Linked DNA regions of Mus musculus. The protein of the gene in region 1 interacts with the protein of each later gene in a biochemical or structural test. Links are inferred from orthologs where the notes say so. Each region holds a gene or a part of one and is shown on either strand. Other genes may lie near its edges. The genes, in order: Esr1, Phb2, Ube3a, Ncoa7, Arnt, Hdac4 and Ncoa6.

Region 1 (2,988 bases):
CCATACACTACTCCCAAGTACTAGGATTACATATGTGCTCCATCACACACAGAGACATTCTTATCATTAAAAAAATCAATCCATGGAAGAGTTATGATTTCCTGCCTTCGCTGCCCACATGACAGAGAGGCAAGGAGGAACAAGGAACTAAGGAGAAAGCAGAAAAGCCATTTGCCTGCATCCTTCTCTCCCCACTTTCTTCCCTGTTTCCTCTTGTGGGCAGAATCTCCTGTTCTGGGCATTGGCAGAAGTTAGGGCCATGTGGAAGGAAACTCCTGAGTGACAGGGACTGAACCATTGTCATGGAGCAACAGAGGACTTTTGGTCACAAGAGGCATCCGAAGATTCCATGGAAATTCATCCTGGAAAAGACAACAGAATGTCAGATTCTCTAGATATCTACAGGTCTTTCTTCATTTCATTAAGGAGCAAATCAAAGACCAGTGACTGAGAGTCAGTGCAGGATGACATCCATGGTCCTCTGTGAGAAAGATGAAGGCATGTCTAGGCTTCAGAGAGCCTACATAGAAATTTTGATTTTTAACTTCTGAATATTATAGGAAGCCATTGAAAAACTCAGGCAAGGAGCCCAGCCCATAGAATGATGTCTTCAACATTAGGGTGGGTCTTCCAACCCTAATTAATGTAATCTAGAAACGGTCGTGTAGACATCCACAGATATCTAGAGCTTGTCAAGTTGACATTCAACATTGGTTACATCACAGAGAGGAAAATGCATGGAAAACCCACTAAACGAATTTGGTGGAAAAGTATGATTGTGGGGGTGGGGTATTCTTATAGGATGGAGGAAATGAAAATACGTGGACACAAGTCCCAGCCCCAGCCCCTTAAGGGGTCTCTGAAGCCCCTAAGATTCTACAGCTGTCATCTTTAAATGAATTCTTAATAGGTTTAAAAAATGACTCCCAAGTGCCTTTGGAGTTGCTCATCCTCCCTCCTCCTAAGAATTTCAGCCGTCCTGGGGGTTCAGCCATGATCTAACATAGTTCTCTGTGTTCCTTCTCCTCCAGTAACAAAGGCATGGAGCATCTCTACAACATGAAATGCAAGAACGTTGTGCCCCTCTATGACCTGCTCCTGGAGATGTTGGATGCCCACCGCCTTCATGCCCCAGCCAGTCGCATGGGAGTGCCCCCAGAGGAGCCCAGCCAGACCCAGCTGGCCACCACCAGCTCCACTTCAGCACATTCCTTACAAACCTACTACATACCCCCGGAAGCAGAGGGCTTCCCCAACACGATCTGAGAGCTCCCAGGCTCCCCGAAAGGTTCTGAGAATCCCTGCAACATTTTACCCATGTCATGTATGACTAGCAGAATTCTGTCTCCTGCGTACACTGTGGCATGCATCCACCACCAGTGGCTTTCTAGTATGAGTGGCCATTTATTTGCTTGCTCAGTTCTTAGTGGCATGTCTTCTGTTGGGAACAGGCAAAAGGGATTCCAGGGCTAAATCTTGGTAACAGCTCTCTTTCTCCCTTTGCTACGTCACTAACTATGAGGATTCCTATAGTCTTCAGTCTTCATGAATGAATTGAGATAACTGCATTGAAGCTACTTGTTGAGACCCAAGCCTAGAGAGTAAACATTTCACCTCTGATAAGCACTTCATAATGGCTCCAAGAGGAAGCCTCAGCAAAGACTTCAAAGTGGCTCCTTTAATTGAAGTCGTTGACAAAGCGATCTCATGGCTTCCTAATAGCACCCGCTTGCATTCCTATAGCAACATGTGACTTTATTAAAGGGAAATCTTGAGCCCCTATAGGAATATGTGATGCACACAGAAAAGGAAGATGCCCCCAGTTGTCAAGACCATGTCAACTCAATACAGTCAACCTTTTCACTTCTTAAAGTGTCAGCTGCCGAGTATTATATACATGGTGGGTTCTAGACAATTCTTGCTTCCCATGACTTGTGGGAAACAGAAAGTCTATTTCAGTTAATACCCTGGAATGAATTAGTCTCCTTCATGAGGGCTGTAGGGTGTGTTGATTTTAATTTGATTTCATTTTATAATAGTCTTCTGCCCCTGGGGCTTGCAGTAAAGGCAGCTTGAGGACCTGTTCTGGTAAACTGGACATTCTTCAGCACAGGATGCTAGCCTTGTCTCTTCCCTGATGTCAATTGCCCTAAATTGTTACCATGTAGATTGATCAAGGGCAGTCACAATGAACCTGCAAGCTGGTGACAATTTTTTGGTTTGTTTAGTTTTATTCTTGGGGGCAGGGAACAAGTAATGTATGGGCAATGACTGTGACTCGGAGGAGTCTAAGAAGGAAAGTAAGGGAGAAATGTGGAGAATGACCTGGCCAGGGCAGCAGCTTCCCAGAGGTGCACCTCACAGATCCCACCATGCACAGTGAGGCTGCTCTGGGATCCATGGGCTGACTTCACTTACATTTCAGGTATGAGCCTGATTGGAAGAGGTGACATCAGATACCTGTGTTCCTGTAGATGCTCCAGGAACTTGGGGAAAGGCATGGGGGCAAGATCTTGGAGCACTCATGACTCAAGCTGTTGAGAAGTTGCTCAGACTAGACTGTGCTTGATTATTCTGAACTCATCCAAAAACCAGCTAGTGAGATCTTGGGGAGAAAAATTTCTTCCTCAACACAGTTCATGATCTTAAATTTTGTAAACTAGAAATGATGAATGACCAGAATTGGGTCATGAGAGTCCTTTGAACAAGGGGATAAAAAGGAAGACTTACTCTATCCACAGCCACCCAAGACCTCTGGGGTCTTGGTCTCTCTAGTACAACTAAGGATTACTTCCTTTTCCAAACCAAAATGAAAGTTCAGTTTCCATCCCGGACTTCATGATCTATAATTTGAACTCCATTGAGATATGATGGGTTAGCCAAAACCTAGGTGAATGGCTAGGCTTCTCTTGGCCTGTACTTTTTGGAATGGTGGGTTCCATTAATTTCTGCTCTCCCAGTTAACTGACTATCAAAGATGTGGAAACT
Region 2 (3,994 bases), on another chromosome or scaffold:
CATTGAACAAGTTTAGCTCTGAAAGGCAAGACATACAAAAGAAGGAAGGAGCCGGGCGGTGGTGGCGCACGCCTTTAATCCCAGCACTCGGGAGGCAGAGGCAGGCAGATTTCTGAGTTTGAGGCCATCGTGGTCTAAAGTGAGTTCCAGGACAGCCAGGGCTATACAGAGTAACCCTGTCTCAAAAAAACAAAAAGAAAAAAAGAAAGAAAGAAGGAAGGAAGGAGGGGGCTGGAGAGATGGCACAAACTTTCTTGTATAAGACTCAAGTTAGGTTCCTAGCACCTTCATGAGGTGGCTCATGGCCACATGCAGACTTGCATGCATAAATAAAGGTAAAGTAAATATTTAAGGGGGAGGGTAAAAAAGCAAAGACAAAGGCTTTTTAAATAATCTGATCCAGACATACTTCAGAATAGGTAAATACAGAACAAGCTGCCAGTCAAGCCCCATTTAACAAAATAAAGCATCAAGTCCTTGGTAGTAAAAGGCTGGGGAAGTCACTGGCCTTTGGAAACGTGGGAACCCTCAATAGACAATGCTTCCCTCATTTTGCATTATACATCACAGACTCCGTGATAAGTCAACTAAAAGCAAGGCGAGGGCTGAAATGAAAGTCCAGAGCAAAAGGACTACCCCCAGGATATCAACAGCCTGGAAAACTAGGTCATTCTTCCAGAGCAAATTTCAAGGCTCCGCTTTTCCATGCACTCTGCGGCCCTGGTTCCCACACAATCTGATCCATCAATTCCCTACCTCCGCACTCACTGTTCAAAACTACCTTGACTGTCTCCAGACTGGCCCCTTCCAGCACCACAATGAGCCTCCGGCCTCCGCACTTGCTTCCTGCCCCAAGCCGGAGCTTCTTAGGCGGCGTAGTCTCCCAGTCCTGCTCCTGCACTGAAAATCGCCGCTCACGAGGTTGGAAGCCACCACTGGCCGCAGACATCTTGTAGGCAGACCGGAAGTTGCACCGAAGTCCTTAAGTTAGAACTTCACGTCCGTCCTCACGGCCAACTTCCTTCGAGCTGCCATTTTGAAAGAGGGCGCTCGAAAATGGCGATGCCCGTACGGAAGCCTCTCCGGGAGGGCACACCATTCCCCCCCACCAAGAGGCGGGACTTCCGGATGCGCCATTCCTGTGCGCGGAGTTCAGGGCCGCCCGGGCGGAGGGGGGCGGGTCCGGAGGGAGGCGCACTTCCGGTGCCCTTTCTCCCGCGAGCTCTAAGGCCGCCGATCCTCGTGTGCAAGGCGAGGTCTGTAAGCTGGAGCGGGGCAGAGGCTGGCGGGCACCCCCTCCTGACCGCTGGTGCCGCCGCCGCCGCCTTCGGGAGGATCAGACATGGCCCAGAACTTGAAGGACTTAGCTGGACGCCTGCCCGCCGGGCCTCGGGGCATGGGCACGGCGCTGAAGCTGCTGCTGGGGGCCGGGGCGGTGGCCTACGGCGTCCGCGAATCCGTGTTCACCGGTGAGCAGCCTCCTTCCGCTGGCCGGACGTTGCGGTCCCCAGACCCACGGTCCTGCTATCCCCCAGGTGTCCCCGTCCCACCTACGCTGACCAGCACTCGGGCCAGTAGCCTGCCCTGACTCCCACCCCTCTCTCCGCAGTGGAAGGCGGTCATAGAGCCATCTTTTTTAATCGTATTGGTGGCGTGCAGCAGGACACGATCCTGGCCGAAGGCCTTCACTTCAGGTAATGGCGGGCAGAGCGAACAGGCCCTGACCCTTCACCCTTGACGGCTGCAGCCAGACTTAACAATTCGGAGCTGCTTTACCCCTTCCTCACGCCTGCTCTTGAGGACAGTGGCTGCCTGAAACTCCAGCAATGCATAAAGGGCTGTTCTCGACTGGGAAGAGTCCTTGTGGTCGTGGGGAGGAACAGGCCCAAGGACGAGTGGTGAGGGGAACCATCAAAATCAATAAAACTGCAGTTTCCCAACTCCTGTCCATGACCTCTCCTCTCCAGGATCCCCTGGTTCCAGTACCCCATCATCTATGACATTCGGGCCAGACCTCGAAAAATCTCCTCCCCCACAGGCTCCAAAGGTAAACGTGGGCAACTGGGAGCCTCAGGGCACGTGGGGAAACAAATGTAAAATGAGCCTGGCCAGGCTGCCAGAATTGGTTGTGTTTCTGAGGTCTTGGTTTCTACGTCTGCAAAAGAGCCATGCCTCACGGTTCAAAAAACGGTGCATTCCAGTACTTGGCATGCATGCACGTTTTAACGTTACCTTCTGCCTAGCATAAAAGGGATAAGAGTTGCCTTTCTTCCTGGCTGCCTAGGTCCAAGTCTGTTTTTAAGGCCTTTTTTTTTTTCTGTTGATTTGTTGATTACATCCACAGTACACCTTGCTCTGGAGAAAGTGCCCCCACTCTTCACTAGCTGTTGCCCTGTAGACCATAGTTAGAAGGCCTGCCTTTGAGATTCCCCAAGCCTGGGCCTCATTCCCATGTACACACCGAGGCAAGTAGCCCACAGAAGTGTGCTTCTCTGTTGCTGTTTGTGGTGTGTGTGGTTTATGCGTTTGCTAAGCCATAGGCCTTGGAAATAAAACACAGTTCTGGTTCTCAAGGCCCTAATGGCAAGGGGGAAACCCAAGATTATGCTGCTTGGTGGAATCCACTTTGGAGGAGGAGTAGCAATTTATTAAAAAAAAAAAAAAATAGCTGTACTGGTGGAAGGTCCATAGAAAAGATTCCACAGTAAACAAGGGTCTGCCTCGCCCATCCATGTTGTTCACATGCTCTGTGTTGACATGACTATCTTCCTGCTGGAGTGCTAGGCTGTACAGTAACACTAGGCATGGTGGGAAGCACTCCTAGGAGAAAGCGCTGGAAAAGGGGGAATTTGGCCTTACCCGGCGGCCACTGCTGACCTCTTCCCTCAGACCTGCAGATGGTGAACATCTCCCTGCGTGTGCTGTCCCGACCCAATGCCCAGGAGCTCCCCAGCATGTACCAGCGTCTAGGGCTGGACTATGAGGAGCGAGTGCTGCCGTCCATTGTTAATGAGGTGCTCAAGAGTGTGGTGGCCAAGTTCAATGCCTCGCAGCTGATCACCCAGCGGGCTCAGGTCTGACTCCTATCACTGTCTGCACGGCGGCAGCCTGTGTCTCTCCTTGGTCAGGGTTACTGGGTACTGAAAGAAGGTATTTCGGGATGGGGTGGGACGGATCTGTAGTTCAGTTGATATGTACTTGCCTAACATGCACAAGCCCTGGTTTTATTCTCAAGCATTGCTTAAACCAGGTGTGGCACATGCCTGTAATCCTAGCACTCGAGGTAGAGGCAAGGGGATCAGGGGTTTAAGGTTATCCTTAGCTGCATGGACTGTGGGAAAGCTGTGCTGTGACTGTGGGAAATGAGGAGAAAAACGGTAGAACCTGACACCAGTCGACCCTAAGAAGGAAGCATAGTACAGAAAGTGGCAGTATTGCCTTACATCTCCACAGAAGGTCTTCCTCCGTTAACTGGAAACTAAAGAGATGCATAAACTGAAAAGAAGAGATTAGGTCTCAGTGTGATGTGGGGCAGTCTGGTGATGCCACGGCTGTCACAGGAAGAAATGGAACCAAGTTTTTTCTAGTGAATGTTTGAGGACTTAAGTGGTGGGTTTGCTGCCCATATTCAGGAGCTCCGGTGTTCAGATGGTTACAGCAATGCCACCACCTTCCTTCCAGTTCTCTGATCCCCTCAAACCAAGCCTCCCTTCCCCTCCCGACCCATGCCCCCAGGTGTCCCTGTTGATCCGAAGAGAGCTGACAGAGCGCGCCAAGGACTTCAGCCTCATCCTGGATGATGTAGCTATCACAGAGCTGAGCTTCAGCCGAGAGTACACAGCTGCTGTAGAAGCCAAGCAAGTGGGTAAGTCCATGGAGGCAGGCACTGGTCGGGGGGCTTCTGGAGGTGGGAGGAGGGGGGCTACATGTTCTTGGGCTTCTTACACCTCACACTTAATCCACAGCCCAGCAGGAAGCCCAGCGGGCCCAGTTT
Region 3 (3,500 bases), on another chromosome or scaffold:
AAAATTTGTTATAGTACAAATGTAGTTTGTATCATGACAGTACAATATTTCACCAAAAATAATAGTATAAATTAATATATCTTAAAATTATACTATGTAATATTTTCTTTTGAAGCTAAGTTATTTCCTATTGCCAAGTAAATAGCTTTTAAAGTTAGTAAAAACCAAATCTAATGTGAATAATCTGATATGCATAATTAGATCTCATGACAGTACAATATTTCACCAAAAATAAGTATAAATTAATATATTTCTTAAAATTATACTATGTAATATTTTCTTTTTAAGCTAAGTTATTTCCTATTGCCAAGTAAATAGCTTTTAAAGTTAGTAAAAACCAAATCTAATGTGAATAATCTGATATGCATAATTAGATCTCAAATGGAAAATGTATATACACACTAAACCAGATGTCAATCACTGGGCTCTGTATACCTCTTAGGTTTAATATGGTAAGGCCCTGTTTCTAGCGTTACATTATAGTAATATTTACCCATTCAATCTTTTGTAGTCTGTTTAGTCTTTCTCTAAAGGGGAATTAACAATTCTGTACAATCACATAAGCTCTTATCTAAGAGGAAAGTGTAGCTTTACTATTTAGATAAATTTGTTTATGTAAAGTTTTTATAACTGCTTCAAACCATACTAGGTAATTCTTTGAAAACTTTACTGCTTTGAAATTATATATTTATAAAACAATGACAAAAATTTAATTACCTTCCTGTTTTCATTTGTAATTGGAATTTTATCACCATTTTCTTTTAGATCATACATCATTGGGTTACCAAAAAGATCTGTCTGTGATATCTGGAAAGTGATCATCATATCATCTTCCACACTCCCTTCATATTCCAATAAATCCTTTAAACTCTGATATAAAACCTAACAACCAGAAAGAGAAGTGAGGTTGCCAAATAAATACTAAAAGAAATAAAAATAATAGATTGTTCATTCTTTGTAGAAACAACTTGTCAACAAAAATGAAGCCATAAATATTCCACATCTCTCAAGTAGTTTAATAAGATAGAAAGGTTGTCACAGGCAATGGGTCAATCTTAAAAATTCTTCAAATGATCAGTTCAGCAACAGATTTCATACCATGGTCTAGAATATACACTTTCTCTCCATGATTGTGGCAGGGTACAGGAAATGAGGAAAAACAAACAAACAAACAAACAAACAAACAGGAAAACAAACAACAAAAAAGCCACACACATATCAACTGTACCTATCAACAACTTTACTACATAGACTCATATGGGACATTGAAAACATGATGTTTTCAACATTTTTTATGGGGTCAATCAAAACATACTTGATAGGATATATAAAAAATGATGTTTATTATACTTAACCAGATTAAAAGTATTTTACTTTACTAAACAGCAGTATCAACAAAAGTTTACAAATAAATAATGTTCCTATATAAACTGAGATAAACTTCTGTATTTAGATACAATCTTAAAGACTATTAACGAAGGACAACTTACTGGGTGAGAGTCTCCCAAGTCACGAAAGGTTCCTTTTTTCCCCATTAGCTTCCTGTATACAACCATGGGAAAATGGACATCCAGTATACAATTATTGTAAATAGCCAGACCCAGGACTATGCCAATCAGAGTAAACTGACCCTCAGTTTCAAAAGAAGATGGATTAAACCAAAATAATTTCGTAGCTTCATCATATGTGAACATACCTATAAAGAAATAATTAAAAGTCATTTTATCCACTTAATGACTGAAAATTACATATGAAACAAATGCATGATTAAGTAAAAAAAAAAAAAACAATTGGAGAAAGTTGATTAACTTTAAGTTACTTAAAATTCATATCAAATCTAAGCTAATATAATTTTAAAAAATATTTTGTGATCTTTCAGCTTCACATGATCTTCATTATTCAAAGCCAAAGTCCAGAGATTTTTTTTCCTATCATCATTATTTTATCTAGGTGAACATTAAGAGATAGTCTTTTTTTTCTTTTTTTACGGAACATCAAACAATAAAATAAAACAAAACTAATTGTATATGCCTTTCAATTTTTCTAAGTTTATTTTCAGTTGCTTCTCAGGAAATACTTTTTATACAAAGTCTAACAAGCTGGGGGAGAGAGTGGGCTGTATACCTTAGCACTTGGTAAAATGAGTAAGGAAAATTATGAGCTTAAGGTTAGAGTACTAATACAATATAAAAAGATTGTCTAAAAAAGCCAAAATCAAAATGAGCAAATCAAAAAGTTTTGGGAAATGTTTTTCTAATGGAACAAGAGTATTAAAAAACAAATAATAAAGCATTAAAATGTACTTTCAGGTTAATTTTAATATTTAAAATGTTTCCTTATTTTCACTTTCAGTTTTAATTAAAAAGAAAAGTACACTTTTCTCCTTGAACTGTAGTAATATAAATTAAGTCTAAGCTTTTTCTTGCAATTTAATATTTGTGGAATACTGGTTTCACAAGTATTCAATTCATACTTGCATTCCAGCTTGAAAAATGTGAGTTATGTATGTCTGTATCATTTGCATGCCAGGTTATACATCCAGGTAATATCAAAAGTTCCAGTTCACAAATAATAAATCTGATAGAATGTCACCAATGGATGCTCTTGGTCTCAAGGACAATTAAGCTATAAATTAACCAGAGGATAAATTATATAACCTATGATTCTCATGACTTCAGGTTTTCAAATCTACCACTCTAAGGTTTTTCAAATTAAATTTCCCTAGAAGGCAACTGTGTTCTACTAGAATATTTGACTAAGTAATATATGGAAGAACCTAAATTAAGTGAGTGATAGAACAGCTCCTGAAGCAGGGATATGGCATACTCAATTTTTTTACTGCTTACCATAACTGAAAATATTTATAAACCAAGTTTATACTTTAAAAGACTAACACACCATCATAATCATATCACTAATACTTACCAATATCTGGATTAAAAATTTCCTCCACAACCAACTGAAAAAACTCTTTGGAAACGCCTCCCTCATCTACTCCTTGTTCTCCTTCAAATTCCACATACAACTGCTTCTTCAAGTCTGCAGGATTTTCCATAGCAATCATCTCTAGCTGTTGATTGAAAATATAAAAAAGAGGACAGTTGAGAAGAGGAAAAATGTAAGATATAAGTAGAAGAAAATAAGAAGCAGCAATAACAAAACAATATGGAAAGAAAACAATGAATTTTGTTTCTGAAAAGAAAAAAAGCAAACTGACTTACAGTTTTTGGCAAGATTTATTTCAACACACAAGAGTATGTACTGTGTTTAAGAAGCTATGCATTTCTTAGTAAAGGATATAGCCAAAATGCTGTTGGGGGTGGGGTGGGGGGAATAGTTGCAATTATGTCCTGTATATCTTCATCTTTAGGGGTCTAAGGGCCTATGAATTTATTCTGTAAAGAATCTCTATATTGGTCTACTTTAACTAATTTGTATGTCTTCATGTATGTATATTCACATGTCTCCTTCCACCTAAGATGTATTTCCTCAGGATCTGT
Region 4 (3,500 bases), about 26 Mb from region 1:
AATAATGGAGCTGGAATACAATAGGGTGGCACCTAGGTTTTTTAAAGCATGATTTTACAATATGACATGAGAATAACAGAATCCTTTAACAGGTGGGAAATGAGTTCCTTTCAGATAAACCGATAGGAAATGCCGTCTCTAGCCCTCTACAGGGTTCTAAATAATATTCCTCAGCTAGGGAAGCATGTTCTCACGGTGAACTTAACTCTTCTCAACTGTCTACAGCCAAATGTAATCGCTTCAGGGATATCGTTGGCTTTCTACTTCTGAACTCACTGAAAGACACCCCCAGCTCTGTGGGAAGGGGGTCAGCACTTCATGTCCTATGGCCAATCTCTTCCTCTGGAACAAGTCCCTAAGACAATGACCTGGACTCTGAGCTATACATCTGCCTGCTTTTCTCAGAAAAAACAACTTTGCTTTAAGTAGCAGAGTGCTGGTCTGGCCCTAGCTTGTCTCAAACAATGTGCATGTATTTATCTAGTGCTAGAAGGAGAACAATGAGGTATCTGGCATTCACAACCATCATGTCTGAGATGCGAGTATGTGGGCTGGGTAGAGGAAAGACATCTGCCTCTAGCCATACTTGTCTGAATTTTCATCTCTGAAACAATGAACTTGGGAGGCGTATAAGAAGTGCTGGGCCTGTTAGAAGGGACAGGAAACTAGCAGCTGTGAGAAGAGGGGACCCCCATCTCCTGGACCACACAAGTCCAGAGTAAAACTATGGGTTTGAACTGGGATTGTTGGAGTGGTGGGAATAGGGTTGTGTCTCAAGTGCAAAGAATTTCATTGTTATTACTGAGACTTATTAGATTTTCTTGAATAAATATTTCTTCATTTGCTGCATGCCTTCAGGACAATTTCCAGAGACTGTAAAGGATTGTTGCTTTTATGATTCCCACAACTCTCTACAACTCCTCATTTTCCTTCTGCATGTGTAATATTAATTTCTATTATTTTATATTATATTATTATATTAATGTCTGTCATATTCCCATAAACAGAAAAGACACCTTATTTCCTCAGGATGGAGAGGCTGGAATGTGCCAAGCTAATGTCCAAATATTCACAATAGCATCTGCAGGGTGCATGATATGTTAAAACTCTACTCCAGTAGTTCTCAACTTGTGGGTCAATGACCCCCATGGGGTTGCATATCAGATATTTATATTATGATTCGAAAGAGTAGTTAAATTACAGTTATGAAGTAGCAGCAAAATCATTTTATGGTTGGGCGTCACCACAACATGAGGAACTGTATTAAAGAGTTACAGCACCAGGAAAGTTGAGAACCTTTGCTCTACTGCCTGACGACATGTGTTAGCCTCAGACCTCTGTTACATCACTGTTGACAGGAAGTTTAGCAAAACTGTGCCTCATTGGTACCTTCTCAGTGTGGACAAGTTGGATACGACTGCTAAACAGACAGAAACTATATATATTTTTGTAACTGAAGTGTTATCTAGTCACAATTGTATTCAAGACATAGCACCAATGATTCTAACATTTCATAACTTTCTATGTGACTTTAAACACTTTGTGGTATTATTTTGATTTTCATCTTAATTGTTCACACTACTCATCTTGGATCATTATTAAATAAGATCTTATCAATCCTGATGTAATAATAATAAAAATAGTAACAGTTATTCTACTTTCAGTAATTCTTATGGCAATAAAGTCATAAAGACTGTGCCTTCCATAACTTCACCAGGGCCATAATCTTTTTGGGGACAAGAGTCTCACTGTGTTGTCCTGGCAGTCTTGGAACTCACTTTTTAGACCAGGCTAATGTTGAGCCCACAGAGATTCAGCTCTTCTGCCTTCCAAGTACAGGGATTAGATGTGCCTCACTCAGGGAGGTAAATTGGCAGGATAGAGAGTTGTACTTCACAGCAAGCTCCTCACTTGAGCATCACAGGTTGAGCAACCCCAATCAGAAAACCCCTCCAAGTCCCAAACTTTCTGAATGCCAACACAATGCCAGAAGTAGAAAAATCTGCACCGAAAACCTGTTTCATGAGTAAAATTATGAAAACTCCCTCTGTGTGTGTGTGTGTGTGTGTGTGTGTGTGTGTGTGTATGAGAGGTGGGGGGAGAGAGCGATCTCCAAGATATACCCTTATACATATACAAATCTTCCATGACTCCCCCAAATCCATATTTCAAAACACTTTTATCCCAAGAAGCTTGGATGAGAATTATCCAAGCTGAGATGTCCTGTACATAATGGGTGTTGATTAGACATAACATGACTAAACTAACTGATTTATTAATGACTTTGGTATGTAACGGCTTGATTAAACAGGAAATGAAAGTGGTTTGCACATAATCCATGCACAATGTAAGTTGATTTGAAGGAGGTGATAACAGTGTAGAATAGATGGGGTACTACGTAATAACTCAAACAGCTCATAGAAAGGGCAGTCACCACACAGGTAAGAGTACCATGAGAAAAGGATTTCCCATGGCTACTGAACCATTGAACCCCAGACCCAATAAACAGAAGTTGACTATCCCCTACCCAGTAGGCATCATCAATGGCTACTACTTAAGACCCTTAGGATAAAACTCTGGTATGTCACTGAGATTGTCTTTGCAACTGTACACATGATTGTCCCTAACTTCTACTTTTAAACTGCTTTAGGTTACTATTTTCTATCTTATGGTCAGCACAGGGAGAAAATTTCTCAGCATACAATTGTTCCATTTTCTTTATATTAGGATTTCAAAATACACCCACAAACAAAAACAAGAAGAAAAAGACATAAAACAAGAATGTCCAAATCCATTTAGTCTGAGAATGGGAGTCGATATAGCAGTCTCTCTACTGTGGGTATTCTAAAAATCTGCCACCAAAACACCTTTTCAGGTGGAGATACAGTTCAGTTGGCAGAGTTTGTCTGCATGCATGTGACCCTGGACTTCATCCCTAGCGTCTATATAACCATTTATGATGATACACACTAATAATTCTAGCACTCAGAAAGTGGATGTAGAAAGATCAGGAATTCAAAATACCTTAGATTATATAGCCTGAACTAGATTGAAATCATATCTCTCCAAAAACAAGATACATGTTCTCTGTGAGAGGAACAGGCCTCACCTGGTTATCCATGTCTTTGATGACCAAAAGAACAGGACTATCTAGAGATGCTGATTTCCTGTAGAGAGTCTTCAAGCTCGTTCCATGCTCTAATGTGCTGTAGGCCAGTCTCCATGGATAGCCTTGTACCCTGGCTGGAAGTCGTCGGGCCAGCTGCCAATCCAGAGAAAATACAAAAGGCCATTTTAACCACTAATCAGTCACTAAGAAGTGCGTTAACTAACTGCCTGTGGTTCAAACTAAAGGACTGAACACTCACATTTGGACCTGTTTTGCCTAGCTGAGAAAGAAAAAGGAAATCTAGAGAGTGTTTCCTTTGGCCAGGATGCCACCCAGGAGATACCTTGCTCACTCAGAGCCTGATTGTTGGTTTCCAGTGTCACTGATAAAA
Region 5 (4,091 bases), on another chromosome or scaffold:
TGAGATAGTGTCTTTCTATATATAGCTCCTGCTGTCTTAGAACTCACTATGTAGACCAGGCTGGCATTGAACTCAGAGAAATTGGCCAGTCTCTGCCTCCTGAGTACTAGGATTAAAGGCATGCATCACTATGCCTGGATCTGTTTGTAGTTCTTTTTTTTTTTTAAATATATATTTTTAAGATTTATTTATTTATTTTATGTATATGAGTACACTGTAGCTGTACAGATGGCTGTGAGCCTTCATGTGGTTATTGGGTATTGACTTTAGGACCTCTGCTTGCTCCAATCAACCTCGCCCACTCCAGTTGGTCGGCTCACTCAGTTCCTGCTTTCTCTGGCCCAAAGATTTATTTATTATTCTAAATAAGTACACTGTAATTGTCTTCAAACACACCAGACGAGGGCGTTAGATCTCATTAGGGGTGGTTGTGGGCCACCATGTGGTTGCTGGGATTTGAACGCAGGACCTCTGAAAGAGCAGTCAGTGCTCTTACCCGCTGAGCCATCTCTCCAGCCCCTGCTTGTAGTTCTTGATTTGTAAAATTATAGAATTTATCTCACAGTGTTTTGAGTCGACATTGTCTGTTCTGAATTGCTCAGTTCTTATAATTAGACATTACGTCTGTGTGTTTACTACCTTGTCATTTTAAAAAAACTTGTGACATAGGACACCTCACTTTTGGAGGGCAGAGAAAGGGACTAGTTTCATTTTGTAGTACAGACTGGTCTTTGCATTCTGAGTTCTGGAATACTTGTTTAATAAAAATTCTTTGTTCGTTGTCTCCATTTCAAATGTTGGCATCTTTGGTACCACGTAATCACCCAGCTTTTTCCTACCAGCTTCAGAGCCAACTCTTAAGAATTAGTTATCGGACTTTTACTAGTGACAAAAGTTCATAAAGAAAAAACAACCTAGAATGGATTAGTGATCCCTGTGTTAGAACCTATAAAGAGGGTTTGCATAACAAATCGTCTGTAGGAAGCATATGCTGATGAGCCCACTAAGAAAGAAAACATTTTAGTAAAATGCTCGTTTTCTTTGCATTTCACTGACGTCAATTTGGTTATGAATCTCTGACGCCGAGAAGGCCGGATTAGGGAAACAGCTGGTTGGCTTCCTAGCTCAGGCTTCCTAGCACTCCTCGGGTCACCGGACTCACTGGCCGAGTCACTAGCCCGGCCTCTATGGCGACTTACTGTTTCTATTGGCCAGTTCTCCCAGGGAGGCTGTCTGGAGACTGACCGCGCCCATAGTTTGGGGCGTGTCTTCTGCCCAGGATGGGGAGGGGGGTGGGCGTCCGCCATCTTGGATTCCGCGGTAGCGGTGGCGGCGGTAAGGTGCCTAATCTGCGGAGTGGCTCTTCCCTCCCCTCCCCCAGCTCGGTGGCGGCTGCCCCTCCCACCGAGGGTGGCGCAGGGACGGTGCCATCTCGACCATGGCGGCGACTACAGCTAACCCAGGTGAGGCGGCAGAAAGGACTGACAAGTGCGGAGAGCCAGAGCAGAGCAGCAGGGCCGTGGCGTTCGGGTGTTGGGGGAGGGGTGTCGAGGAGGCGCCCTGCCCGGAGGACCTGGGGAACGGGTGACGGGTGTTTGGGGGCTCCGTGCCCCAACTTCTGGAGTAGTGGTGGCGCTTGGCCAGCGTCTCCACTCTGCCTGCGGTGTTAGGGAGTGTTGTGGTCTTTTAACCCTCTGCCAGCTGATGTTCCCCTGATGCCTAGTAAGTAACTGGGCAAACTGACTTGGTGTAACTGCGAGCGTAAACTGGGCTATAGACGGGGCCACGTTGACGTTTTGCAAAGTCTTGCTTGATTCTACACTTGGTTTACATTTAAATGGAAAACTTAGTTCTTTGAGAATCTGCTCAGATTCTTGTAACTCCTATACTTTGAAATTTAGGGTTTTAGCGTAGTTATTAGTGTCTTGCTGCTGAAGGCAGAGGTTTGGGTAATGGTAATAGTTCAGGACAGGTCTTTAGTCCAGAACCCAGGTTTAAATCTTGTTAGGTCGAGGTGGAGCAACTCCTGTTCTTTCAGAAAAATGTCCCGCGCCATTTGTCTGTGGACGTCCTCTTGCTTGTTTGTCTGTCTGTCTCTGTCTCTCGTTCATCTTATTTTGAGTCTTGTCTCATTCCAGCCCCCGGTTGACTTTGGATCACTGCAGTCTCCCTCTCAGTCCTTTCTACTGTATTCAGTTACATCTTAGGAAGTATTTCATTTTAGTTGGGCTAATTTACCTTGTTATTTTCCAACAAAGTAAATCCATCATTTCCCAGAAGTCTGTATCATCGAAGAGTTTGGAGGGAGGGTTGTGTAATATTGGTCTCTGCTATTTCACATTGAACTTTTAAATTTTATCTTGTTAATGTACTATATTACAGTAACAGGGTACACACACGTATGTATATACATACACACAATAGCTGAAACACTGGGAAATGTATTGTTTTCCCATTATTTTTGGAAACAGCCTTTTTTTTTAAGAGAGAGAGAGAGAGAGAGAGAGAGAGAGTCCTAGAACTTATATGTAGCCCAGGTTGGCTTCAAATTCATGTGTCAATATCAACTTTAAAAAAAATATTTTTAAGCTTTAGAAATTATGTATATGATAATGTCTACTTGTGAGTGCAGGAATGGGAGGAGTCCAGAATAGGGTGTTGGATCCCCTGCAGCAAGAGTTTCAGGCAGTTGAAAGCCCCGTGATGTGGATGCTAGGAACTGACATTAGGTCCTAGAAGAGTAACACATACTCACAACTACTGAACCTTCCTTTCAGCCCCTGAATATCAGTTTTTTAAATCCTAAATTATTATTTTTTTTACATGAAGATGAAGTAAATTGTCAGGAAACTATTGGAATATTTGATGAATTATAGAATAAAACTATACAACTGAAAAATGTTAGAGAAAATCAGACCTTGTAGCAAAATAGCCCATGTCTGATTAGAGTAAACAAGATTTCAAACTGATCCCATGTTGCAAAATCCTTATATAACTCTTCAGACTGCAAAGTGTCTCTCTTGTTAAGGCCGTAGAGACACGTTAGTAAGTCAGAAGCTTTTCTAGCTGCCCTGTTCTGATTTTAAACCAATTACTAAAACAACACTTTCTTGACCAAATAGTCATTTCCTTATCAATATTAGCTTAAGTCTGTAAGCAGGAAATAGTAATTTTTTTCTATTTTTTTTTCTGAGTGGGGAATTTTGAGAGGCTGGCCTGCAGTGTTCTGTGAAGATCAGGCTGGCCTTGAACTTGCAGTGGTCTTCTTGCTTCTATCTTCAAGTGCTGGAATCACTCGCATGTGCCATCCTATATAAACTATCAAAACTTTTTAAAAAGTACGATTTAAGAATCTTTTTTAATGAAACAGTTGTTTGTTTGTTTGTTTGTTTGTTTTGACTTTGGTTTTTCAAGGCAGGGCTTCTATATGTATCCCTGGCTGTCATGAAACTCACTCTGTAGACCAGGATGGCCTCCAACTCAAGATCTGCTTGCTCCTGCCTCCTGAGTGCTGGATTAAAGCTGTGAGTGTCATCACCAGTAGAAATAATTGATTTTATTTATTGTTATTTGATTGCTTGCTTCTTCAATTTTGAGGTGGGCAGAGTCATCATAGGTACTTACCAAACAGAGGGAGAATAGGCTGGAATTCCTTTAATCTTTGCAGAAGCAGGGGGATATCTTAGTTCATGGCCATCTTGGTCTACAAAGTCAGTTCCATGCTACATAGTGAGACCTTGTTTCAAAATCAAAAGCCAGACCAAACCAAGCAAAAACCTCAAAAGGTGAGGTGTAGGTTCTTAGCAAACCTTTGAAAATTAACCTGAGAATGTAAGAGTTTTCTTAAATTCTAGTCTGCTGTTAGTTATGGCATAGCACCCAGTGGTTCCTGCTGTAGCTGACATCCCTGCGTAGCCTCAGCCTCTTATGAGATGGGATGGTAGGTCTGAGCGGAGAACAGAGAACGACAGACCCAGTGAGACTAACCCCCTGCTCTCTTTACCATCTGCCTTAACTTCCTTTTCCGGGGGCTACATTCCTAGCTCAAGATTTCTTTTTTCCATGTGGAGAATTCTTCCATGTCTTCTAAT
Region 6 (4,113 bases), on another chromosome or scaffold:
TTCATCTAAATGTTAGCAGGCTGCAGATCCTGCATTATTTTGTATGTAAATTTGGTAGTGTACTTTTCTATAAGCAGCTGCACTAGCACTCCTAAGTGCGGTCATTTTCTTCTGCTCTTTTCTATTCCACAATTCATCCCTTGGCTTCACAGCTGAGCTATCCTAGAGTATGAATTTCTCCCAGTGAATGAAGCTTTCTAACTCAGTATTACCTTGAGATAATGAAAAGAATCTATTGCTTCTTGCGAATTGTTTTACCTTCAATTTTCCCCCAGTCATGGAACAAAAATGCTATTAAATCTCTACTCAACTCCTATCAGGCAAGGCCTAGTAAATAGGTCAGCATCCTAGGTCAGGCCATGTAGGGTGGACCAGATGCTCTTGTCTTCGTTTTGGATGTGGGATTCTGGAAATATCATGGACACAGGATGAGAAATTGCACTACTCTCCTGATGAAAGGAAATGGACCCAAGGGAGCCAGAAGGATGGCCTTTCACGCCCATCCACATTCGTGAACGCCAATTATAGGCGCTTGGCCCAGGTCTAGAAGAACCTCAGAGAAGGGGTGGTCCCAACAAACCGGGACGCCGTGGCGGCGAACCAAGAATACACCTCCGCAACAGCAGCGGTCCCAGAACCCCCAGTTCCCACGGCCACGCAAGGCCCCACAGTCACAGCCGCACCCCCAAGCGGCGCGCCTGCCCCGGGGCAGGGCGGGGCCCGCCGCGCCTGCGCACTCCCTCTGGGCTCGGCGTCCCCCGCACGCAGCCCACGTGATCTGTGCCTTGCCTAAGATGGAGGTTGCCGCCAGGCCCGGCCGGGCCCTCGCCTTAGTCTGTGCTCTTCCGCGCCCCCTTAGAGCATGAGACAGGCGCTCAGGCACACTGTATTGACCCGGGCAGCGCCGCGGGCTGCCAAGGAGGTCTGTCCACGGCTTCAATCAGTTCGCGCACCAGCTCCCTGCTCTTTCTAAAACAGCAAAAGCTCTCAGAGCGGGCGCCTGGAGAGTCTTCGGTACGCCCCGCTCATTAGAATTGACAATGCTGGGAGCCAATGGGGTTTGGAACTTTTGAGAAGGGCGGACGAAGGCGGAGCCCCTTCGCAGCGCCCGCGAAGCGGGGCTGGCTGTTGGGCTATTGTGGGGCGGACTTAGGACTCTCGGACCAATGGAAGGGCGGCTGAATTCTTGGAGGCGGGGCCGAGCCGTAATTGACGCTTTCTTCATTAGAAACCAGGCAGGGGGCGGCGCCCACGGGGGGAGGTGACGCAAAGCCGTTGTAGCCAATGGCTGGTGGGCCGCCGACGGGAGGGGCGGGGCTGGGGCGCCTGACGGGCGTAGGGCGCGGCCTATCCCCGCGCGGCTCTGCGCTCGAGGGGGAGCAGCATCATGGTTCAACGTGGGTCAATTTTTTGTGAATGAGGAGGGGAGGTTGTGGGGCCGCTGCCGCGGAGCACCATCCCCGCCGCCGCCCGAGCCCGAGCCCGCGCGCCTGCTCGCGCCGCCGCCGCCGCGCCGCCTCACGCCCGGCCCGCTCAACGCGGCTGCTGTCGCCGTCGCCGCCCGAGCCCGCCCGCCCGCCGGCGGCGGCGCAGGCTGAGGAGATGCGGCTCGGAGCGCCGGAGCAGGGCTAGACGCGGCCCGCCGCCGCCGCGGTAAGCCACCGGCCGTCATTGTCCGCGCCGCCCGGTTGCTGGCGGCAGGTGGACGCCCGGCCCCGCCGAGGCCTCGGGGCCCTGCGCCGCGGGCTGGCGGGCGGGAGAGCGGCCTGCGCCGGCGGGCGGGCAGGTGGGCGCGCGGGGGCGGGGGCCGGGGCGTTTATGTAACTTTGTCAGCCTGTGAGTTTGCAGAAAACGCCCCTCGGCGGCGGCGGGCGGCGGGGCGGGGGCCGCGGCCGGGCCCGGACCGTCGCTGGGCTGGCGAGGAGCTGCGCTAGCCCCGGAGACGACCGGTGTCCACCCTGAGCGAGGGTTCCGAAGGCACAGCTTGTAGCTCACACAGCGGGAGTCGGTCGGAAAGGCCGGGTGTGGAACCCGTGTTCTCCTTTAATGCACACCGAGAATTTGTTAATAACTTGCAGCCGCTGATAGCAGTGTTTTGGTTATTGCATGCTGTAAATTGACCTGCTGTGACACGATTTTCAAATAAAGCGTCGCAGAAATTAAACTTAAGTTATTTTAGAACTAATGACTTTCTTAACTAAATCCTAATTGCATTACTGTAGAGACCTACCTAATTGCTTTCCGAGAGCCACTCTGCCTGCCCGGGGAGGAAGGAAAGGCCTGTGTAGTCACTTTGCCTCCCTGCTTTTCTCTGCTCAGGCTTTTCTGTCTGTTCCCACAAACCACCTAAGCATTTAAGGCCTGCGAGTATTAACGTGTAAACAGCCATGGCCCTGTCGCACTTTGGGGCTAGGGGGATGCTGGCGGCTTGCACCTTGACCTGGTTTCGGTTTTTCCTCCGTGATATGATCGAGGTTGCCAGGAGTTTTAATTGCTTCTGATAATTCCGTGCATTATTTCAGGACCGGCTTGATGAAAGCTAGTGTAGTGGTTTCAAAATCCACCCAGAAAGAAGGTGATGGTGGTGGTGGTGGTGTAGGTAGGTGTAGTGCTTGTGGAGAGGCAAGGAGGTTGAATTAAGAAAACTCAGCTGCTTGTACACAAATATACACTATAGCAGTTACAAGGCAGCAAAAGTTATTGCAGAATTTTGCAGTCACTATGGCAACACAATTACTCCATTATAATTGGAAATGCAAAATGCCACCCAGTTAGAAGTTTCATCAGGATGGAGTTTTGGATATCAAAAAATATGTGAGATTTAGTTAAAAATTCTCATTTTTTTCCCCCAGGTAGCTTTGCAGCTCTAGTCTAGGTTCAATTGTCTATTTTTAAGACCCATCCGCTTTCCCAGATCTGCCACTCCTCGGGATCTGTGGCATCTTTCCCCAGAAGAACTCCCCGTTTGTGTGGGAGGGAAGTATTTTCATGCTTTAAAAACACACACCCGACACACTGTAAGACTTCTATGGTTTTCTGTGTTCTGGCTTTTCTTTTAAAGATCAAATGCCTTCCTGAAGAGCAGTAATCACCCAGAAGAGGCTGGGTTTGCTAGAAGGCAGAGGTAACACTGCCCCCTTTAGGGGTCTGCAGGCTGCTTACAGGGTATCTGGGAGCCCTGTGGGGGAGAAGAATGACTGTGAACTGCAGACGGGGCCTGGATAGCCTAGAGACCAAGGACAGATGTGACCTAAGCAGCCCTAGCAAGAATGTCTGTGGTTAGCAACATCAGAGAGCTGTGCAACATATAAAGCCCCCAGATGGCACCTTCTCAGAAGCTAGGGGCTGCTGCTGGTGAGGTGGGCAAGAGAACATAGCACTCTATCTTCCTGGGGCTCCTGGCTCCTAGCTTGACTTTGCTTTCAAACCTGTGTTAGGAGGATGTCCCTCTTGATGTTTACCAGAAGAGCTCTGGTGCTGGAAGTTTCCACACGTCGTGGGGCTGCTGCAGCTTAATTTCGTTAGAACTCTTTCCTTTTAACTACTGCATATTTTTGCCCAGTAATCGACTTCCATTTTCCAGCCTCATTGTGAGGTTTCAATGCAGCATGAACGGCTTTGAATTCCAATCCTTTGATGTTGGGGGTGGCACCAAAGGAAAGGCGACTTTGTGCCGTCCTAATTGCCAGAGCAGAAGAAAATTTCATCACTCCTGTCAAGCCTTGTCCATGCCATTTTCTATTGAAAACGGCTGGTTTTTCAGAACTCTGAAGCTGCCATAAGTAATACATTAATACCTGATGTAGGGAGCCAGGGAGATGCAGAAATGAGAGACACCTGCTGCACGGGAAGATTGGGGTGGCGTGGGGGGGCTCAGTCCCAGGACCAGGGCTTTTGATGTCTCTGGGCCCTGGGGTGACTATGCAGGCTTCAGAGGGTGAATCCAGAGTTGAGCTCATGTCCCATTGGTTGTAACCCAGTCTTGGGGTAGGGGCCCCAAAGAGATTTTTGGAGTGGCTTTGTCTTGGTCTCCAGTGACCATCCAGTGTCCTGCTGCTCAGCCAACTCTGGGCCTTAAGTGTGACACTGACCTTTGAGGTGCAGGTGACGGAG
Region 7 (3,941 bases), on another chromosome or scaffold:
CGTGTCATCATCTTCTAGTCCAGAGTCAAACTCCACCTCTGAGTCGCCCATTGTAGATGAACACAAGGAAGTATAGATGTCTTCAAAGTTTGGAAGGTCATCCAAAACCATGGTGTATTATTCCAGAAGTATATGCAAAGTGAACAGTAAGTAAACCTTCAGAAAAAGAGAGGATGCAGAGTATTATAAACTATCATTATATAGTCAGCATATCATTTTTATTTAATATGTTATCCATACCTCTATAAAAGATGTAATTTATTTACCAGATAAAATTTCCTTTCATAATATTATTTGCTACTTTTTTTTTTGTTAAGACTAGACTATTGGGAGAAATATACAAAGTGACACAGGAAAATCAATAGATCTGAGTGTTAGCAGTGCTCACCTGCAACCCCAGCGCTTTGGAAGATCATAAGTTGAGCTCACCCCAGGCTGCAGAAGTAAGCTCTTGTCTCAAACAACAGCACCCAGAAAAATCCTTTATAAAATAACTATACTTCTCCAGCTACATTTAAGAATTTCTAATAATATTAAAAGTAAATAAATAAAACTAACAAAAAAATTTTAAGGCTAAAAAGCTGCTGCTTACTTAGCAAGAGAAAGACTGAGTTTTGAAACTGCCTAAAAACTGTAGGTATTTAGCAACCATTTCAAAGTAGGACAGAAAGAAAAATAACTTAATGATATATGTCATTAAAGTTAAACAAGAGTAAACCAAACCAAAATTAGTAGCTGGAAAGCCATGACACAGACGGGTGAGCTGACTTAGCAGGTGACTAGGACCGCTCCTAAGCTTGCCGATGAGTTTGACCCTCAAGATCCATATGACGGCAGGAGAGAATTAAACTACAAGTTGTCATCTGACTTAAACACACACCAAGCCCACTCACACAACAGTAAATAAACAGATGTTTAAACATTTTCTTCAAAAAAAAAGGGGAAGATAAAATAAATGTTAGGATAGGTGTTAATAAAATGGATTAAAAGAAAAATATAAAAGATTAACGAAACAAAGAGTTCTTTGATAAGATAACCAAATTGACCAAAATAAATAGACATGAATTAAGAAAATGAGGAGGCTGAAGATGCAGCTCAGTTGCTATAGAGCTTGCCTAACATGCACAAAGCCCTGGATTTGATCCCCACCATCACACAAATCAGGCATAGCGATACATACCTATAATTCCAGCACATGGAAGATGGAAGCAGGAGGATCTCAGAAACCCAAGATCATATCTGGCTAAAAGGGAGTTTAAGGCCAGTTTGGGATACAAAGAGGCTTGGCCTCAAAAAAGATAAGTATACATACATAATATATATTATATACATAATACATAGACTAAAAAGGAGATATTAAAGCAGTGAGATTCAAAGAGGATCTCTAAGGAATTTTTGAAAACTTCCAGTAAGTTGTTAAAACTAGAAGGAACTGGTATGTTTCTCAATACATGAATTACCAAAATTAAACCAAAAGGATATAACCTAAAAAAAAAAAATTAAAAAAAAAATAAAAATGATCACCATACAATGAGGGCTGGTGAGATGGGTTAGTGTGTAAAGGCACTTGTAGCCACGCCTTGTGAGGACAGAGAGAACCAACCACCTCTGTGTGCTGTTTGCTAACCTCTGTACCTCATGGTGGCATATGCACCTACAAGATATGCACATACAATAGAAATAAGATGTGGAGGCTGGAGAGACGGCTCAGCAGTTATGAGAACATGTTGCTCTTAGAGGATCCAATAGTTTTGTGTGGGTGCTAAGAAGTGAACTTGGCTTCTCTGCAAAAATAACAAGTATCCTAACCCCTAAGCAACTCTCCAGCCCCACTTCACCCCTGGTCATACTGATTATAGTGCTTGAACTCTTTGTTGTATGTTTGCTTGTTTTGAGACAGGATTTCTCTGTGTAGTTCTGCTGTCTTGGAACTCATTTTGTCGACTTTGCTGGCCTCAAACTCATCATAGAGATCCACCTGCCTCTGCCTCTGCCTCTGGAGTGCTGGAATTAAAGGTGTATGCAAAATATAAAATAAAATAAAAGTATGTGCTATTATATCAGCCCAGCTAGTGCCTGTAGTAAATAAAAAGCATAGAAACAAGCAAGGCAGAAGTCAAATCATTCCTACTTACAGATGTGATCACTTACTTAAAACATACTAAGAACGTCTCAAGGTAACTATTAAGAGTTAGGTAGTAAATACTTTCAAGAAAATATCAGGGATATAAAATTAACCTAGAAAACCCAGTAGCAGGGCTAGTAAAATGGTTCATCAGTGAAGTGCTCTTTGAGAGGACTGAAGCTCAGTTCCCATGTCAGGTGGCTCACAACCTTGCCTAGAACTCCAGCTATAGGGGATCTAATATCCTCTTCTAGACTCCACAGGCACCAATAAACACACATGCAAATAAAAGTAAATTGCTAGGTTCTCTATGTACTGATAATATGCTGGGAAAGAAATTAGGAACCCAGGTTCAATTCCTAGAACTTACATGGAGGTTTTCAACTGTTTGTAACCTCAGTTCCAGGGCATTTGTCACCCACCCTTTTCTGGCCTCCTTGGAAATTTCATGAATGTGTTATACAGACATACAAGAATGCAAAATATACACAGTACATATAAAACAAATTTAAAATAAAAGAAAAACCAAAAAGGTAGACTTAAAAAAAAAAAGAATTTCTTACATAAACTTTCACTTACCAAAATGTCTTAATTATCATTTATCCAGATCATCCTCTAAGTCCAAGCAAGGTGGCATCTTTAGGGCTTATAGGTCAAAGTAGCAACCAATCAGAATTCTTTTAGAGAGAGAGAGAGAGAGAGAGAAGAGGAGAGGGAGAGAGGGGGGGGGGAGGGGAGGAGAGGGGAGGAAGAGAAACAGTATTATAAAGAAATAAGATTAAAAATACGAACAATAAATAAATACATACATAAATACATAAACTCTAGAGATTGTTAAATCAGTTTTCACTAGAAAACTTATCCCACATGTAGAATGAAGAAGCAAAACTCAGGAACCCCAAGTAGCTTCATGTAAGAGCCACAGAACTGGGAATTCTGGCTTTCTTGCACCCTCCAGACTTTTACTCTTAACCTTGCCAAATTAAACAAGGAAACTACCTATAGATATTTGGAGACAAATATTTTTCTTTTTACAAGTCTTAAAAGATTTTTTTGTGGACATGGGTATTTTGCTTATATGTATATATGTGTATCACATGTGTGTTTAGTACCTATGGAGGCCAGAAGAGGGTGTCGAATGTCTTGGAACTGGAGTTACAGATGGTTGTGAGCCACCGTATCAGTGCTGAGAGGCAATCCAGGTCTTCTGGAAGTTCAGCCAGCGCTCTTAACATCTGAGCATCTGTCCAGCCCCACAGAATATTTTCTATTCACATTAATACAAAACTCACATCTTCTAACATAATTTCAAACTTATTTTTAAAATCCATAAAGTATAAATATTTTCCTTATTTATTCACAATATCTTGTAGTTTGTTTGTTAAGGAGGGCCCGACCTGCACTGAGAGGAAAGCAGGTCTGTGAGAAGAGTCGCTTTACTGTCAGGCGTTTTATTTTTTTTAAAGATTCATTTATTTATTATATGTAAGTACACTATAGCTGTCTTCAGACACTCCAGAAGAGGGCATCAGATTTCGTTACGGATGGTTGTGAGCCACCATGTGGTTGCTGGGATTTGAACTTGGAACCTTTGGAAGAGTAGTCGGTGCTCTTAACCACTGAGCCATCTCACCAGTCCCTGTTTGTTTGTTTTTTTTGAGACAAGGTGTCTCTGCATAGCTCTGGCTGTCCTGGAGCTCACTCTGTAGACCAGGCTGGCCTCAAACTCAGAAATCCGCCTGCCTCTGCCTCCTGAGTGCTGGGATTAAAGGCGTGCACCACCACGCCCAGCTCCATCTTGTAGTTTTAATTAAAA

Evidence for each region.
Region 2: the proteins of Esr1 (region 1) and Phb2 form a complex in vitro, tested with the Homo sapiens proteins (3 studies listed by BioGRID). The link is inferred for Mus musculus from reciprocal best matches to the Homo sapiens genes ESR1 and PHB2.
Region 3: the proteins of Esr1 (region 1) and Ube3a form a complex in vitro, tested with the Homo sapiens proteins (2 studies listed by BioGRID, with this or other methods). The link is inferred for Mus musculus from reciprocal best matches to the Homo sapiens genes ESR1 and UBE3A.
Region 4: the proteins of Esr1 (region 1) and Ncoa7 form a complex in vitro, tested with the Homo sapiens proteins (2 studies listed by BioGRID). The link is inferred for Mus musculus from reciprocal best matches to the Homo sapiens genes ESR1 and NCOA7.
Region 5: the proteins of Esr1 (region 1) and Arnt form a complex in vitro, tested with the Homo sapiens proteins (2 studies listed by BioGRID). The link is inferred for Mus musculus from reciprocal best matches to the Homo sapiens genes ESR1 and ARNT.
Region 6: the proteins of Esr1 (region 1) and Hdac4 form a complex in vitro, tested with the Homo sapiens proteins (2 studies listed by BioGRID). The link is inferred for Mus musculus from reciprocal best matches to the Homo sapiens genes ESR1 and HDAC4.
Region 7: the proteins of Esr1 (region 1) and Ncoa6 form a complex in vitro, tested with the Homo sapiens proteins (4 studies listed by BioGRID). The link is inferred for Mus musculus from reciprocal best matches to the Homo sapiens genes ESR1 and NCOA6.

Annotation. Positions count from the first base shown.
Region 1 is NC_000076.6:5,000,158-5,003,145, forward strand, and holds part of Esr1 (estrogen receptor), read left to right. Parts: intron 1-1,031; coding exon 1,032-1,266; 3' UTR 1,267-2,988.
Region 2 is NC_000072.6:124,711,095-124,715,088, forward strand, and holds the start of Phb2 (prohibitin-2), read left to right. Parts: upstream 1-1,194; 5' UTR 1,195-1,342; coding exon 1,343-1,469; intron 1,470-1,609; coding exon 1,610-1,694; intron 1,695-1,967; coding exon 1,968-2,047; intron 2,048-2,889; coding exon 2,890-3,074; intron 3,075-3,735; coding exon 3,736-3,865; intron 3,866-3,965; coding exon 3,966-3,994. Other genes in the region: Emg1 (ribosomal RNA small subunit methyltransferase NEP1), read right to left, coding at 782-949.
Region 3 is NC_000073.6:59,284,250-59,287,749, reverse strand, and holds part of Ube3a (ubiquitin-protein ligase E3A), read right to left. Parts: intron 3,071-3,500; coding exon 2,926-3,070; intron 1,697-2,925; coding exon 1,491-1,696; intron 883-1,490; coding exon 718-882; intron 1-717. UniProt on the Homo sapiens protein: E3 ubiquitin-protein ligase which accepts ubiquitin from an E2 ubiquitin-conjugating enzyme in the form of a thioester and transfers it to its substrates.
Region 4 is NC_000076.6:30,649,827-30,653,326, forward strand, and holds part of Ncoa7 (nuclear receptor coactivator 7), read right to left. Parts: intron 3,263-3,500; coding exon 3,110-3,262; intron 1-3,109. UniProt on the Homo sapiens protein: Enhances the transcriptional activities of several nuclear receptors. Involved in the coactivation of different nuclear receptors, such as ESR1, THRB, PPARG and RARA.
Region 5 is NC_000069.6:95,433,099-95,437,189, forward strand, and holds the start of Arnt (aryl hydrocarbon receptor nuclear translocator), read left to right. Parts: upstream 1-1,291; 5' UTR 1,292-1,438; coding exon 1,439-1,463; intron 1,464-4,091. UniProt on the Homo sapiens protein: Required for activity of the AHR. Upon ligand binding, AHR translocates into the nucleus, where it heterodimerizes with ARNT and induces transcription by binding to xenobiotic response elements (XRE).
Region 6 is NC_000067.6:92,177,542-92,181,654, reverse strand, and holds the start of Hdac4 (histone deacetylase 4), read left to right. Parts: upstream 1-1,313; 5' UTR 1,314-1,397; exon of another isoform or gene 1,398-1,653; intron 1,654-4,113. UniProt on the Homo sapiens protein: Responsible for the deacetylation of lysine residues on the N-terminal part of the core histones (H2A, H2B, H3 and H4).
Region 7 is NC_000068.7:155,437,984-155,441,924, forward strand, and holds the start of Ncoa6 (nuclear receptor coactivator 6), read right to left. Parts: upstream 2,801-3,941; 5' UTR 2,705-2,800; intron 157-2,704; 5' UTR 112-156; coding exon 1-111. UniProt on the Homo sapiens protein: Nuclear receptor coactivator that directly binds nuclear receptors and stimulates the transcriptional activities in a hormone-dependent fashion. Coactivates expression in an agonist- and AF2-dependent manner.